Sus scrofa: one gene and its partners. The protein of the gene in region 1 interacts with the protein of each later gene in a pairwise test. Links are inferred from orthologs where the notes say so. Each region holds a gene or a part of one and is shown on either strand. Other genes may lie near its edges.

Region 1 (4,416 bases):
GCCAGCCAGCCCTGCGTTACCACAACCTGTTTATGTGCCAGCCAAGGGGGCCCAGTGTCTCAAAGGGACCAGACTCAGGGTTTGCTGAATGAATAAGTGAGCAAATCCCCTGAGGAGCCAGAGGGGGAGAGGTTTCTGGAGTAGCTGGCCCTCTGTCCCCTCAGAGAGAGGGGACACCAACGTCTAAGTTGTTCAGGGAGAGAGTGGGAGCTCAGTGCCTCCTTCGTGGTGGGGGACGGTCACTCCCTTCGACCTCCAAGTGGCTGGTAGGGGGAGGACCCTGCCTGGGCAGGGGGCTGCCCATGTCCAGCGGGCTGCCTCACTCCCGGGCGTTCCCCAGGCCAAACACCCCACAGGAAGGCGGTGGCTGCTCACCAGCAAAGGCACCCAGTGAGGCGGCCAGGGCACAGCCTCGGCAGAGGGGGACGGGCAAGGAGTCTGAGACCCGGCACAGGACACGGGATTCGGGTCCCGTCACTTGGCTGGAGCAGGCCCTGCTGACAACCACTTGGATGGCAGAAAGTCAGGGCTCTTGGACTCAGCATGAGACAGCACAGGGAGTGAGGGGGAGGCGAGAGGTGAGGATGCTGCCCTGGAGAGGGGCAGAGCCCCACATCAGCACCCAGAGACCGCGGCAACGTGGAGAAGGAAGACAAGGCCCGGCCTGGCTCGGGCTCAGCTGGCATTGGGAGAAGAGCCGTCGAAGCCCAAGGAAGGTCCACTGACACTCAGGCCCCAGTGACAGCTGGACACTGAGCTGTGACATCCAACCAGACACGGGTGTCCTGCCCGCCTGCACACTGGGCAGCCTCTTTACAAAATCGGCCCAACCAAAAAACTAACATAGATCAGATGAACAAGGTGAAAGTGTTCTATCTTATAAAGAACTTGTTTGGGGAGTTCCTGTTGTGGCTCAGTGGAAACGAATTTGACTAGCATCCATGAAGACACAGGTTCGATCCCTGGCCTGGCTCAGTGGGTTAAGGATATCGTGCTGCCGTGAGTTATAGTGTAGGTCACAAATGTGGCTCAGATCTGACTTGCTGTGGCTGTGGTGTAGGCTGGCTGCCACAGCTCTGACTCAACCCCTAGCCTGGGAACCTCCATATGCCACAGATGCGGCCCTAAAAAAGTGGGGGGAAAAATGGACTTGTTTGCTTCCACAAAGGAAGCATCGCAGGGATTTTGTGGCTGCCTCCATAAGAACACAAGGACTGTTAGTCTTCTCTTTGTGACTTTTTCAATTTCTAAAACTGAAACGGCCTCTCTTCCTACCTTCAGGACAGCCCAGGAGCTGAAGTCAGGCCAGGCAGAGAGGCAGGGTGGGCCTGTCACGCCCCGCACCCGGCATCCGGAGGTACTGGCTAAGTGCGGGTGAATCACTGGTCTGACTTAAGGGGGCTGGGCTTCGTCCAGTCACCTGGGCAGCTTGAGACGATTCCTCCAACTAAAACTCGCTCATACCACGGCAGCCTCACCATCATACCCGCAAGGACGAAAGGCTACACTAGCCAGTGGGCTCTATAGCCCCAGGGGGACCAGCCATCCTGGCTGTGCCCTGCTTCACTGCCTTGGTCTCAGCAGGCCCTCAGGTCCCACCCCCTCCCACCATCAACGGGCCTCCTCACCTGCACCTGCCCCCAGATCACGCCCATCTGCTCTGCAGCCGTGGACTGCAGGGTCCTGGCCAGCAGGACGAGCTCCCCGCCAAGGCCCAGGTGCTGCAGGTGGGTCTCCACAGCCGCCTGGGTCAGCTTGACGAGGCCTTTGACCAGCATGAGGGCGTCCCCCAACACGGCAGCCATCCTTCCAGGCCTGGAAGAGAGCAGGCAGGTCAGGGCAGGGCTCCACACCTCCCTGGTGTCACGCCCACACGGGGCACCTCTCCCCCAGACTCGGGGCAGTTGGGTTTTTCCTCTGACCTGCCCCCACCCTGCTTCGGATCCAGGTGTCAGAGTGCAAAGAGAAGAGCCCAGGGTTCAAGGCAGACTGAGCAATTCCCCACGCTGAAGGGTGCTGAGCAGAAGGAAAGCGTCGGGGAGTCGGAGCTGTTTGCTGGGGCCCCACGGCCTCCCCATCATATGCACAAGTTAAGGGATTTGCCCAGAGTCCCTCAGCCACCAAGCAGTAGAACCAGGACCTGATCTGGGTACAGGGACCTAGTCCGGTGCTCTCCTTCTGGACCAAATGCACAGGCTGGGGAGGGAACACCTGCTCCCCAAGCAGCTCCCTTCGGGGGCCAGGGATTCAAGGTTGGGGGGTAGCCCCAACTCCTCATGGGCCACCCAATCCAGCCCAGCCACCCTGGCTCTGCCCAATGAAGCCTCTGACAGACACCCACCGAGGGAGCACAACCAGAGCCCCCTCCCCACCCTCAGGCTCAACGATTCCCCGAGCCAGTGCTTTCCAGCTGCAGTCCAGACCACAGGGCACTGCCTTTGGAAAATCCTAACTGGCACTGAAAATGCCACCAACACGATGGCACGACAGACGGGGAGCAAGGAGCACCTGCAGGAAGGGGCGGCTGTGGGAGTCGTCTCCCCTCCGTGTGCGCACACCCACTCTCTGCTCTCTACCGGTCACAGCGTAAAAGGGGCTCCTTCCTGTCGGGGGCACACCGGGTGCCATGCAGGGCAGAGTGCACGTGGCAGTCCCCACATCCTCCTCTGGCCTACCTGGGGCTCCAGGTTGGGGGGCAAGTCAGACAGGGAGTGGCGGGGAGAGCAAACACAAAAGGAGACTCCAAGAAGCCCCCGGAGCGGGACGGGGCACTGCAGCGGGGGCAAGGACCTGCCAGGAGCCTCCGAGATAAGATCCGGTGGGCAGAGCGGGTGTGGGTGTGGAAGGCACGACCAGGAGACCCGGACCAGACGTGTGAACAAACACCTGGAGGCCAAGACGGCGAGATGCACAAACGCAGGGCTGGGCCAGCAGGAGGGAGGGGGTTCTCAGCACACTAATTAGCAGCTGCGCAACCGCAAGGCCTGGCTGACGAGCATCTCCACCAGAACCGGGGTTCCCACTCCTGGCCGCCCTTCTCGGGGAGCAGCCCCAGTCGTTCTCGCAAGGATCCGCTCAGCTCCTGAGCACAGGGTACAGCTGCTCTGATTTAAAAGGAGAGCTGTCAGAGTGCCCTGGGGGCCTGGCGGTTAAGGATTCAGCATCGTCAGGGCTAAGGGTTTGGGTTGCATCTCTGGCCCCAGAACTTCCACATACCGTGGGCGCAGCTACATAAATAAATACAAAATAAAGAGAGAGCTGCAGCGACAGCCAGAGGAACCCCCACACACCAAATGCACAGAAGCCTGGAAGTCAGGACGACCCACCATAACCTGCCCTCCAAGAACCCTCCACCTCATCTCCTTTGAATCCTTATGGATGACATGGATATTGCTGCCCACATTTCACCAAGTCAGCAAGGTTAACTAACCAGCCAAAATGATGCGGTTCCTGAGCGGTGGCCCCAGGTCTGGTCTCCGCCCTTGTCTTGTGTCCACCACACCAAATGCTTGGTTCTCCGCCTCCAAGGCACCCTCACGGGGACAGGGCACTGATCAGCCACAAACACACCGCCTATAGCCTGATCAAAGCCAAGGTTTCTGGAAGGTGATCATACCCTTGAAAGAGGTGGGCGGAGCCCTGCTCATTGCCTGCTGCTGTTTTCACACCCCAGAGCAATAAACAAGTGTGAGCCCCAGATCAAACGCCTAGGACTAGGAAAAGCTCATGTAATCAGAGCTCAGGTACAGCTGGTGCCAGCTCGCAGCAGCTCCCCAGCCCCAGCCCGACACGTACCGCTAAGCTTTCCTCGTGAGGGAAGAAGGAAAGAGACATCAGAGTCACGCAATGGCAGAGGCCAGGGCCCCAGCCCCAACTAGCATACCCTACTGCCTGGGGGCCCCAGAAACAGGCCCCCCTCCCCTTGCACACCTCTAAATCCAGCCCAGATAACCAAGGCGGGAGTCTCCCAGAGGCCAAAAGCCCCGATGATCCCAAACCCTCACCTGGCCTGACAGCGAATCCTGCACAGAACATCCGAAGACCTCTTTCATTCAGTCTTTGTTTTTAGGCTTAAAATTAATTCTGGGAGTTCCTGTGTGGCTCAGTGGAAACAAATCAGACTAGTATCCATGAGCATGTGGGTTCGATCCCTGGCCTTGCTCAGTCGGTTAAGGATTCAGCCTTGCTGTGAGCTGTGGTGTAGGTCACAGAAACGGCTCGTATCCTACGTTGCTGTGGCTGTGGTATAGGCCGGCAGCTGCAGCTCTGATTCGACCCCTAGCCTGGGAACCTCCCTATGCCAGAGGTTGCAGCCCTAAAAAGCAAAAAAATAAAAGCAAATAAAAATGTTCAAAAATTAATTCTGCCTAAACATCTCATCCAAGTTATCATAACCACAAACTAAAGTTTCACTAG
Region 2 (3,498 bases), on another chromosome or scaffold:
GACCCCTTCATACATGTTCATGTTCCCTAATTTCATCCTCAGAAGGTAAACGTAATCTCCAGTTTGGGGATTATCAGGTTATGGCCCTCTTTCATTCACCTTCTCAGTGCCATTTCTGGAATCCCAGTATCCAGAACACCTCCCGCAAACCACAGTGCTTCAAACGTCTAAAGAGGCCCCTCCTGTCAACCCCACCCCACCCCCTCTGGCCCATTTACCAGGTCATATGGGAACCCTGCCCCAGAAAGCCTCAGGTTGCTTCCTGGCAGAGTCTATCTCTGCATTCCAGGACTGCAGTTCTGAAAAATCCCCCACAAGAGCCCACTGGCATCATCCTACTCTCTGGGGAGAGAGCTGGGGACAGACTGATTGAGTCACTTGCCCCTGGACACACAGCCCAGGAAGCTCATAAGGCAAAGAAAGCAGCCCTTCCTCCCTTGGAGAGCTGCCCATACAGTGATGGGGTTAGAATGTCTTCCCAGCAACACAGATCCCCACGGGAGGGCCCTAGAGTGGACGATTAGCAAAGGCAAGAGGATGAGTCTTTAGTTCTCCAAAGTCAGGCTTCCTCCTATCAAGCCACAGCAGCTACTTAGGAGGCCAGAGCCAGCAGCAGCCCCCTCCCTACCCCAGGGCCCCCCAGGCAATAAGTCACAATGCTCCGGCTACCCAGCCCCCCAGAATGGCTGACCCAAGTGGGAGGAGATGAGGAGGGTTTGGTGGGTGGGTGTGTGGGGAGGAGGAGATTCCCGAGAAGCCCAGCTCTCCACTGCTTGAGCTCACCCTTGAGTGTCCGCCAGGGCCCCCCATCGCCCTCCCCCATGGTCTCATCCCCCAGATTCCTACCCTTCCCCATTCCTTGCTGTAACTGCCAGCTCCCTCCATGACCCAGCTCTGCTCATCCAGGCCCAAGGGCCCTGCTTATTCTATCCCAGGCCTTCCCAGGGGCCTGGGTGCTGGGGAAGGATCGGGTAGCCCAGTGGGTCCATGTGTGTCTCCTGGGGGCCCTAGCCCAGCCCAGCTCCTGGACAGTGTCCTAGGGCTGGGGGCACTGGGGCTGACAATTTGGGCCGTCTTTTCCACAACTGGCCCAGCCTCACTGCTGCTGCTGCTGCTACTCGTCAGCTTCCTGGCCTTCGATCTGCTCCACCGGTAAGTGCACAGCAGCTTAGCAGGCGGGCAGGTGCACAAGTGGTCAACCTCCCAAAGCCCAGCTGCCACCCTTTCTCGCCACAGGCCTGCAGGTCCCACCTGGCCACAGCACACACATCCACGTCTCACAGGGGGCCAGAGTCAGGGCGCCGGCGAGGGTCCGGGACAAGTGGAGGCTCTACTCCTGCCCACGGTGGGCACAGGACAACTCGCCCTCCAGGAGGCTCTGCTGATGCTGCTCTTGGGCCTGGGGCTCCTCCTGGGAGCCCGTGGCATGCCCTTGACCCTGCTAGCCCTGGCTTTCTGTCTCCATCCTTGGGCTTGAGTGTCCTCCAGAAATACACTGGCCATGCTATTTCCTCAGGCCTTCTTTCCTCCACCCTGGGCTGGGCAGATGGAAGGATACTCTTTCTCCTCCAGCCTGAACCCCAGGGGAACCTCTGCTCCCACAATAGGGACAGTGGATACCTAGGTCTGAGTCCGAGGACATCGGCCAAAACCGAGATAAAGGACAAGGAGCCCAGAGGAGGATGTGGTAGCCATCTCAGAGCCCGTAGGTTGGGGTGGCTAGTCTGGCCTCCTGGGTGGTTCTAGAGAATGAGGGTCCAGAGAGAAAGACTTGCAAGAGAGCAGAGTGGGACTGGATATCAGCCAGCAGGGAAGGGATGAGGGGATCCGGAGAGGGCTTCCCACAAGGAAGCATGAGAAACTCCCCTGCCAGTCCAGAGAGTCCATGAGAGAGGCTCAGGTAAGGCTCATGCTCACACCCTCTCTTGGCTGGACCCCACCCCAGCCCGGGTCACAATGGGGCTCCTCTGGGGAGGGTGAGGGGAGTGAGAGTGGGAGCTCAACTCTGGCTGCCAGGCCGTCCTGGGCGCTGCAAGAAGCAACATGACTTAGGTGGCTCTGCCAGGAGGTAAGACCCAGGCCCCAGCTCCAAGCCCCACCCCACCCATGCTGGTACCCTCCTGACCCCTGCTACCACCCCCACCCACCCATCCTGAGGTCCCAGGCATCTCCAGGGCTGCTCCTGCAGCTGGCCTGGCCCTCTCCCCAGGTGCACCAGCCGTGATGCAGCAGCTGCGAGTGGAGACAGATGCCACCGGAGCCGGTGAGGGGCCACAGCGTGCTGTGCCCTGGACGGCCTGGCTCACACGGGACAGCTGGGTGCGCTGGTGCATGTGCCACATGCCCCCGAGCTGGGCCCAGTGGTGGATCACATCGGGCTGGCGGCAGCCGCTGCAGCGTGTGCTGTGGGGTCTGGAAGGGATCCTCTACCTGCTGCTGGCGCTGATGCTCTGCCATGCACTCTTCACCACCGGCTCCCACCTACTGAGCTCCCTGTGGCCCGTGGTGGCTGCAGCGTGGCGCCATCTGCTGCCGGCTGTCCTGCTGCTGGCGCTCAGTGCCCTCCCCGCCCTGCTCTTCATGGCCTCCTTCCTGCTGCTGTTCTCCACGCTGCTGAGCCTCGTGGGCCTCCTCACCTCCATGTCTCACCCAGGCCTTGCTCAGGACTTGGACCAATAGAAGGGCGACCCCATCCTGCTGCCTGTGTCTGTTGAGCCCTGGCCTAGGGCCCGAGGCCCAGGGGAGAGGGAGGGCAGTGGGACCAGGGCCTTCCTGCCTCGGCAGGCTCCAGACCTTCAGTCCCTAGCTGGGGCTGGTCAGGGCCTGCTGGCAGGGTAGGGGCATCTCTCTCAAGCTGATCCTCCAGGTACTTGGTATGGGGGGCCAGGGCATAGGGCAGAAGGCTGAGCTGGGAGCAGAGCTAGGCCAGGCCACCCAAAGCTCCCACGTGCATGTGGTGACACCCCTGGGACACCCTTAGCAGCTGGCAGCATCTTTTCCTTGCAGCTGCTCAACTGTCTCCGCTTCGAGCTCACAGAGAACATCTACCTGGGTGCCCCTGGACTTGTCATTCACCCCGCCAAGCCCGTCTTTCCCCTTCCCCAGGCTCTAGAAAGAGCCCAGTGACAGAAACTTGGCTGGGAGAGGGCCGGCCAGAAGCCACATGAGACCTCAGCCAAGCCTCCTCCCAGATTTTCTGCCCATCCATTCCCCACTCCCTAGACTTCCTACCTCCTGCCTCAGTCTACATCCTCAAGTCTGGGAAATGGGCCAACAAGGGTCATGAGGTTCCCAGAGAGCACCTACGGCTTAAGACTCCCTAGGTTTGCTAGGGAAAAACAAGTCCCATTTCACCCACCTACGCAATGTGTGGCCTTCGCCAATTAATTCTTTTGAGCCTTGGTATAAAGTGGGTCCTGTCATGGAGCTGTTGTGAGTCAAAGGCAATAATACCAATGTGTGAAGGACTTTGTATAAAGGCCAACAAGCCAGAAGATA
Region 3 (5,085 bases), on another chromosome or scaffold:
AAGAGTTGGAGTGGAGTGATGGGACCCATTTATATGCTCGAATAGTTCTATTTTACTTTTTTAAAACAGGGGACATGTTTAATTTTTAACTGAAATGAAAAAAATGTATGGCAATTGTCTAACCAAAGAATGGCTTATTCCTTAAGGTGTAATTTTATTTGAATAGAAATTATTATTCAGAAATATTAAAGCTGAATTCCATTCCTGCTGATCTTATTGCTTGTAATGAGGAACTGGCATAGCTCTTACACTATTCTTAGCATGAAACTTGGCACTTTTTGGCACAACACTTAGGTCAACTCAATTTAGAGCAGGAACTCTGTTACTGACTAAATAATGAAATGGGAATGCAGTATTTTGTTGAAAATTACCACATAGCATTCCAGATTTCACGTTCCATTTTGCAACCACCTCTTTTTCCTTACATATTTTATTTAAAAAACCATGGAAAATGTCACACATAATGTATAGTAGTATAATAAAACCTCATGAACCCATAACCAAGCGTCAGCAAGTATCAACCTTTTGCCAATACTGTTTCAATTATCCACATTTTTTCTTCTGAAATATTTTAAAGCAATTCTCAGACATGACATAGTTTGTACATAAATATTTCGCAATATATATTACAGACTTAATACAAAAAGACACATTAAAGGAGCCTGATCCTCCTGAAATTTTTCCCTTCTTAGTAAATGGCTCAAGCCACAACCTCAGAGTCATCCTTGACTCATCTTTCTCTCATAACCCAGAGCCAATATGACACTCAACACTGGACAGATTCTGAACCTCCTCTTATTTAAGTCACATCACCTTTTGCCTGACCTAGGGCCACAACTCCCTAACTGGTCTCTCTAGCACCCCTGCAACCTCAGATCCTGCATTTGTTACCTCTGCCTGAAATGCTTTTCCTCAAAGGAAACAAACAAACAAACAAAAAAACAAAAAAAGGGGAGAAGTGTCACTTCGTTGAGGTCTTTCTGAATTTGATCCTAACAGAAAAAACTGCCCTTTCCAATATGTTCATGTAACAGCAGCAACCACCACCCCTGTCCTAAACTAATCTTTTTTGGCTTTTTTCTCTAATGTACTTAGTTTGTCTTTTCCCGCTCGACTGTAAACTCCAGGAGGGCAGAAATTTTGGCGATTTTATTTATTGCTGTATCACTACTGGCCAAAACAGCAGTAACATGCGGATGTGGAGCAGACAGTGAAGTATTTAAGACTGAAAATTATTTGATAACTAACAGAAGATAGAATTTTCAAACTTTTTCCTAGAGAATTTGAAACAGTGAATAACTGAAATTAACGTGGGAAGCACATCTTGAGAGCTGTGCCAGATTTTTTACATGAAGTTGATCAACCACTTCAATCAAACCATAATACGTATGTCCTACTTAAGCAGTGGGGATTATGTACCCGAAAACATCCAGCTTTATTTCAAAGTGGCATTACCTAGTGTCAAATCTGCATTCAGCACCAGAATCACTGAGAATTTGCACTAAAATAAACAGCTAGTGTCTTGCTCTAATTCTTCCATTCTTCTACAAGTCAAGCATCGTGCAGCGTCAACTATGCCAAAAAAAGTGGGCTAAAGGCAACTAGGAAAGCAGTAAAGTTTCACAATGACTTACATTTCAGTACCAGCCGGGTATGTTACATTAGAAAACTATTTTTGTTTTCTGTTTACAAAAGAGAATGCTGTTGCTACTGTGACTGTGCCATTAACTTAAAACGCCAGATTGTTTACACCCCGTACTGTGAAATTCACACCTGCTCACAGATTTCCCCGCGGTGGCACAGTGTGGGTGGCGCCTGCAGAAAACTGTCCCGAGTTCCCAGGACTGACACTTCCTTAATTTCTGAATACGCGAGGTACTCAACTTTCCCCCTAAAGTGTTTTCGAAAAATGTCCCTGTGACTGGAGGCGCGACAAGAACCCCACCCCCTCTCTCGCTGCCCCACTGCCTGTGCTCCCCACTTTGAAAACCAGTGGGACCCCAGCCCGCGGCCTTGGCTGAGTCCGGACGCGGGCAGCCGGGCGCAGGACTGCGGGGCGCTGTGCTGGCAGCTGTCCCGACAGAGGGTTAGGAAAGCAAACTTCCTTCTCGGACCCGGCGAGGAGCGAGCCCGGAGGACAGGGCGGGGGTGCTGCAAGGACGGCCGTCTCCCGGCCCCTCGCGGACGCGCAAGGGCTCCGCCCGCCCGGGAGGGAGCGCACCCAGGCCCCGGCCTCGGCGTCGGAGAGGCAGGAGGAGAGGTGCCGCAGCCCGGGGCCGAGCTCGAGGTGTGCTCCGGCCCGTCCCCGCTCCTCCCGAGGAAGGGGGGCTCCGGCCCGTCCCCGCTCCTCCCGAGGAAGGGGGGCTCCGGCCCGTCCCCGCTCCTCCCGAGGAAGGGGGGCTCCGGCCCGTCCCCGCTCCTCCCGAGGAAGGGGGGCTCCGGCCCGTCCCCGCTCCTCCCGAGGAAGCGGGGCTCCGGCCCGTCCCCGCTCCTCCCGAGGAAGGGGGGCTCCGGCCCGGCCCCGCTCCTCCCGAGGAAGGGGGCTCCGGCCCGGCCCCGCTCCTCCCGAGGAAGGGGGGCTCCGGCCCGTCCCCGCTCCTCCCGAGGAAGGGGGGCTCCGGCCCGTCCCCGCTCCTCCCGAGGAAGCGGGGCTCCGGCCCGTCCCCGCTCCTCCCGAGGAAGGGGGGCTCCGGCCCGGCCCCGCTCCTCCCGAGGAAGGGGGGCTCCGGCCCGTCCCCGCTCCTCCCGAGGAAGCGGGGCTCCGGCCCGGCCCCGCTCCTCCCGAGGAAGGGGGGCTCCGGCCCGGCCCCGCTCCTCCCGAGGAAGGGAGGCTCCGGCCCGGCCCCGCTCCGCGGCGCCTGCCCGAGCGGCGGTTGGGCAGGAGGGCAGGAAAACGGCCGCCGGGCGCAGAGGGTACCAGGCCGCGCCCTCAGGGGCCGCGGCCGCAGCAGGCCCGCGGGCGGTCGGAAGCCGGCACCACGGGCGCGGCCGCCTCGGCGACCCCTCCCCGCCCCCCGGGCGCCGCCGCCCTCCCCCCCGCGCGGTACCTGCACTGCGCGGCTGAGGAAGGTGCCCGCGTCGGCCGCCAGCTTCTTCACGTTGAAGTCCATGATGTTCATCCTGGGGGCAGCCGGGCGCGGCGGCCGGCGGACCTACCGGGAGGCGGCGGCGCGGCGGCCGGGCTGGGGCGCGGGGTGCGCGCGGCGGGGGCGGACGTGGTCGGAGGGAGGCGGCGCCGGCCCCGCCGCAGCTGTCGTTTCCGTGGGGGGAGGGCGGGGCGGCGGCGAGAACCGGCGCCTCGGAGCCGGCCGCGCGCCCGAGCGGCGGCGGCCGGGACGCAGGGCCTGTCCCTTCAGGGGGAGCTGCCGCGAACGCCGGCGGGGCCGCGGTGGGCTTCCAGGAGAGCGGCCGGCGTCCGCGCCGCGAGGGGCCGGGTCCCCAACGGAGGAAGCGAGCGCGGGCCGCGGGGCGGGGCCTTTACGGGGGTTATCGCGGGAACAGCGACCCCTTCAGGGCCGCGGTCGCGGGGCCGCGGGGCGGGGCCTTTACAGGGGTTATCGCGGGAACAGCGACCCCTTCAGGTCTGCGGCCGCCGAGGTTATCGCGGGAACAGCGTCCCCTTCAGGACCGCGGCCGCCGAGCCGCGGGGCGCGCCGGGAGCTGGGCGCGTTCCCCTCAGGGAGGGTGGCGTTCGCGGCGAGAAGCGCGCCGCGGGGCCGCTGCGCCGCTGCACGTTTGCAGTTTGGTCTGAGCCTCCAGAACAGAGAGAACCCCAACCCCCCGTTTTGTTTTAGGAGAAAATGGGGACGTTGTAGCGTAGAATTACAGCACCTGTGAAATGAGTCTTGTAGGTCCCGCGCCCCGCTGGTGCCTGACGCCCGGATGGCGCTCGTGGACGTTTGCAGAACAGACTTGAAGTCAAGTCCCCGCGGCGCCCGCTGTTCATTCATTCGGCATTGCTGAGCATCTGCTGGGCACCAGGACTGCAACCCGTGCTGGGGACACCTACCGCCCAGGCCTGTCCCCGCCTCAGGACGCTCTCGGGGCGGCTCTTGACCTCCAGGGACCCCAGCCCCGCCCGCGGCAGCGCTCACCTGCTGGGCTGCAGGTCCGACCCTGGGCGCCTGCTGGTGCAGAACGCGGCGCCCGGGACCCGGAGAGCCAGGCTGGACGTGGCCGTGCACGGTGGTGAGCGACACCGAGGGACCCTTAGCCGCTGGGCGAGGCGGGCTTGATAACTAATGGGGTACGATGTCAACGTTAATAACGAATGGGAATACATGTGAATTTTCATAACTAAGGAGCCCGTGACGTGGAATTTGCGCAAAAGCCCGTAATTCCAAGTATCTTGTTAAGCAGCCTCAGGACACAGCTTATGCTTGATTGAAGTTCACATGGGTACAAGCACGGAGGGAGGGGAGACTAGAATTTCAAGTATAAGAAAAGGCTCCATGCATTTGTTGTGTTGCCCTTTTATTACTTTAGGGCTGGGAAAGTGACAGCAGGCCCGGTGGGCGGTGACATGAGCTCACATTCATGCTTCTGAGTTTTACTGAAACAGCAGCCATAGCAGCGGTGGCTGTTAAAGGCACAAAGATTAGAGCCTAAGCATATTATAAGGAATAGCAAATAACATACAAATATTTATGTTCTTTGTGGTGGTGACAGAAACAGCCTTTTTCCCCCCAAGGCAACTACAAAAGAATGAATCTTACTCCATGTGTATCTTAACTTATTTTTCCAGAAATATGGAGAAGGAAATATATAATCAGGATTCTTGGCTTTCATTTATTGTTCATTTTGTATTTTTATGTAGAAAACACTTTATCTCTTTCCAGATGTTTGTCTTCACAATAAGTATATTCACAAGTATATCATAATCCATGTCCATTTCTGCAAAAAGATCATGACACTGCATTCACCATTAGAGGAAAAAACTCTGGATCCTCTTCCTCAAACTTGTAGATCTGCTGACTTGAGGAAGAAATATCTTCACTTATTCCTGTTCAGCCCTAGTTTCTCTAGTTTCACTGACACGTTCCGGAGACCAGTGTATCCTCTCTGTTTCCTCACTGTTCTTACCGT

What was found.
Region 2: the proteins of COQ8A (region 1) and TMEM239 interact in binary tests that used the Homo sapiens proteins (3 or more experiments, as listed by UniProt). The two-hybrid records come from large-scale screens. The link is inferred for Sus scrofa from reciprocal best matches to the Homo sapiens genes COQ8A and TMEM239.
Region 3: the proteins of COQ8A (region 1) and SH3GLB1 interact in binary tests that used the Homo sapiens proteins (3 or more experiments, as listed by UniProt). The link is inferred for Sus scrofa from reciprocal best matches to the Homo sapiens genes COQ8A and SH3GLB1.

Annotation. Positions count from the first base shown.
Region 1 is NC_010452.4:14,617,022-14,621,437, reverse strand, and holds part of COQ8A (atypical kinase COQ8A, mitochondrial), read right to left. Parts: intron 3,449-4,416; exon of another isoform or gene 3,431-3,448; intron 2,514-3,430; exon of another isoform or gene 2,509-2,513; intron 1,937-2,508; exon of another isoform or gene 1,933-1,936; intron 1,816-1,932; 5' UTR 1,806-1,815; coding exon 1,629-1,805; intron 1-1,628. UniProt on the Homo sapiens protein: Atypical kinase involved in the biosynthesis of coenzyme Q, also named ubiquinone, an essential lipid-soluble electron transporter for aerobic cellular respiration.
Region 2 is NC_010459.5:32,837,341-32,840,838, reverse strand, and holds TMEM239 (transmembrane protein 239), read left to right. Parts: upstream 1-1,749; coding exon 1,750-1,786; intron 1,787-1,905; coding exon 1,906-2,059; intron 2,060-2,150; coding exon 2,151-2,679; downstream 2,680-3,498. Other genes in the region: C17H20orf141 (uncharacterized protein C20orf141 homolog), read left to right, coding at 884-1,152, 1,237-1,477.
Region 3 is NC_010446.5:129,392,353-129,397,437, forward strand, and holds the start of SH3GLB1 (endophilin-B1), read right to left. Parts: upstream 3,120-5,085; coding exon 3,048-3,119; intron 1-3,047. UniProt on the Homo sapiens protein: May be required for normal outer mitochondrial membrane dynamics. Required for coatomer-mediated retrograde transport in certain cells. May recruit other proteins to membranes with high curvature. May promote membrane fusion.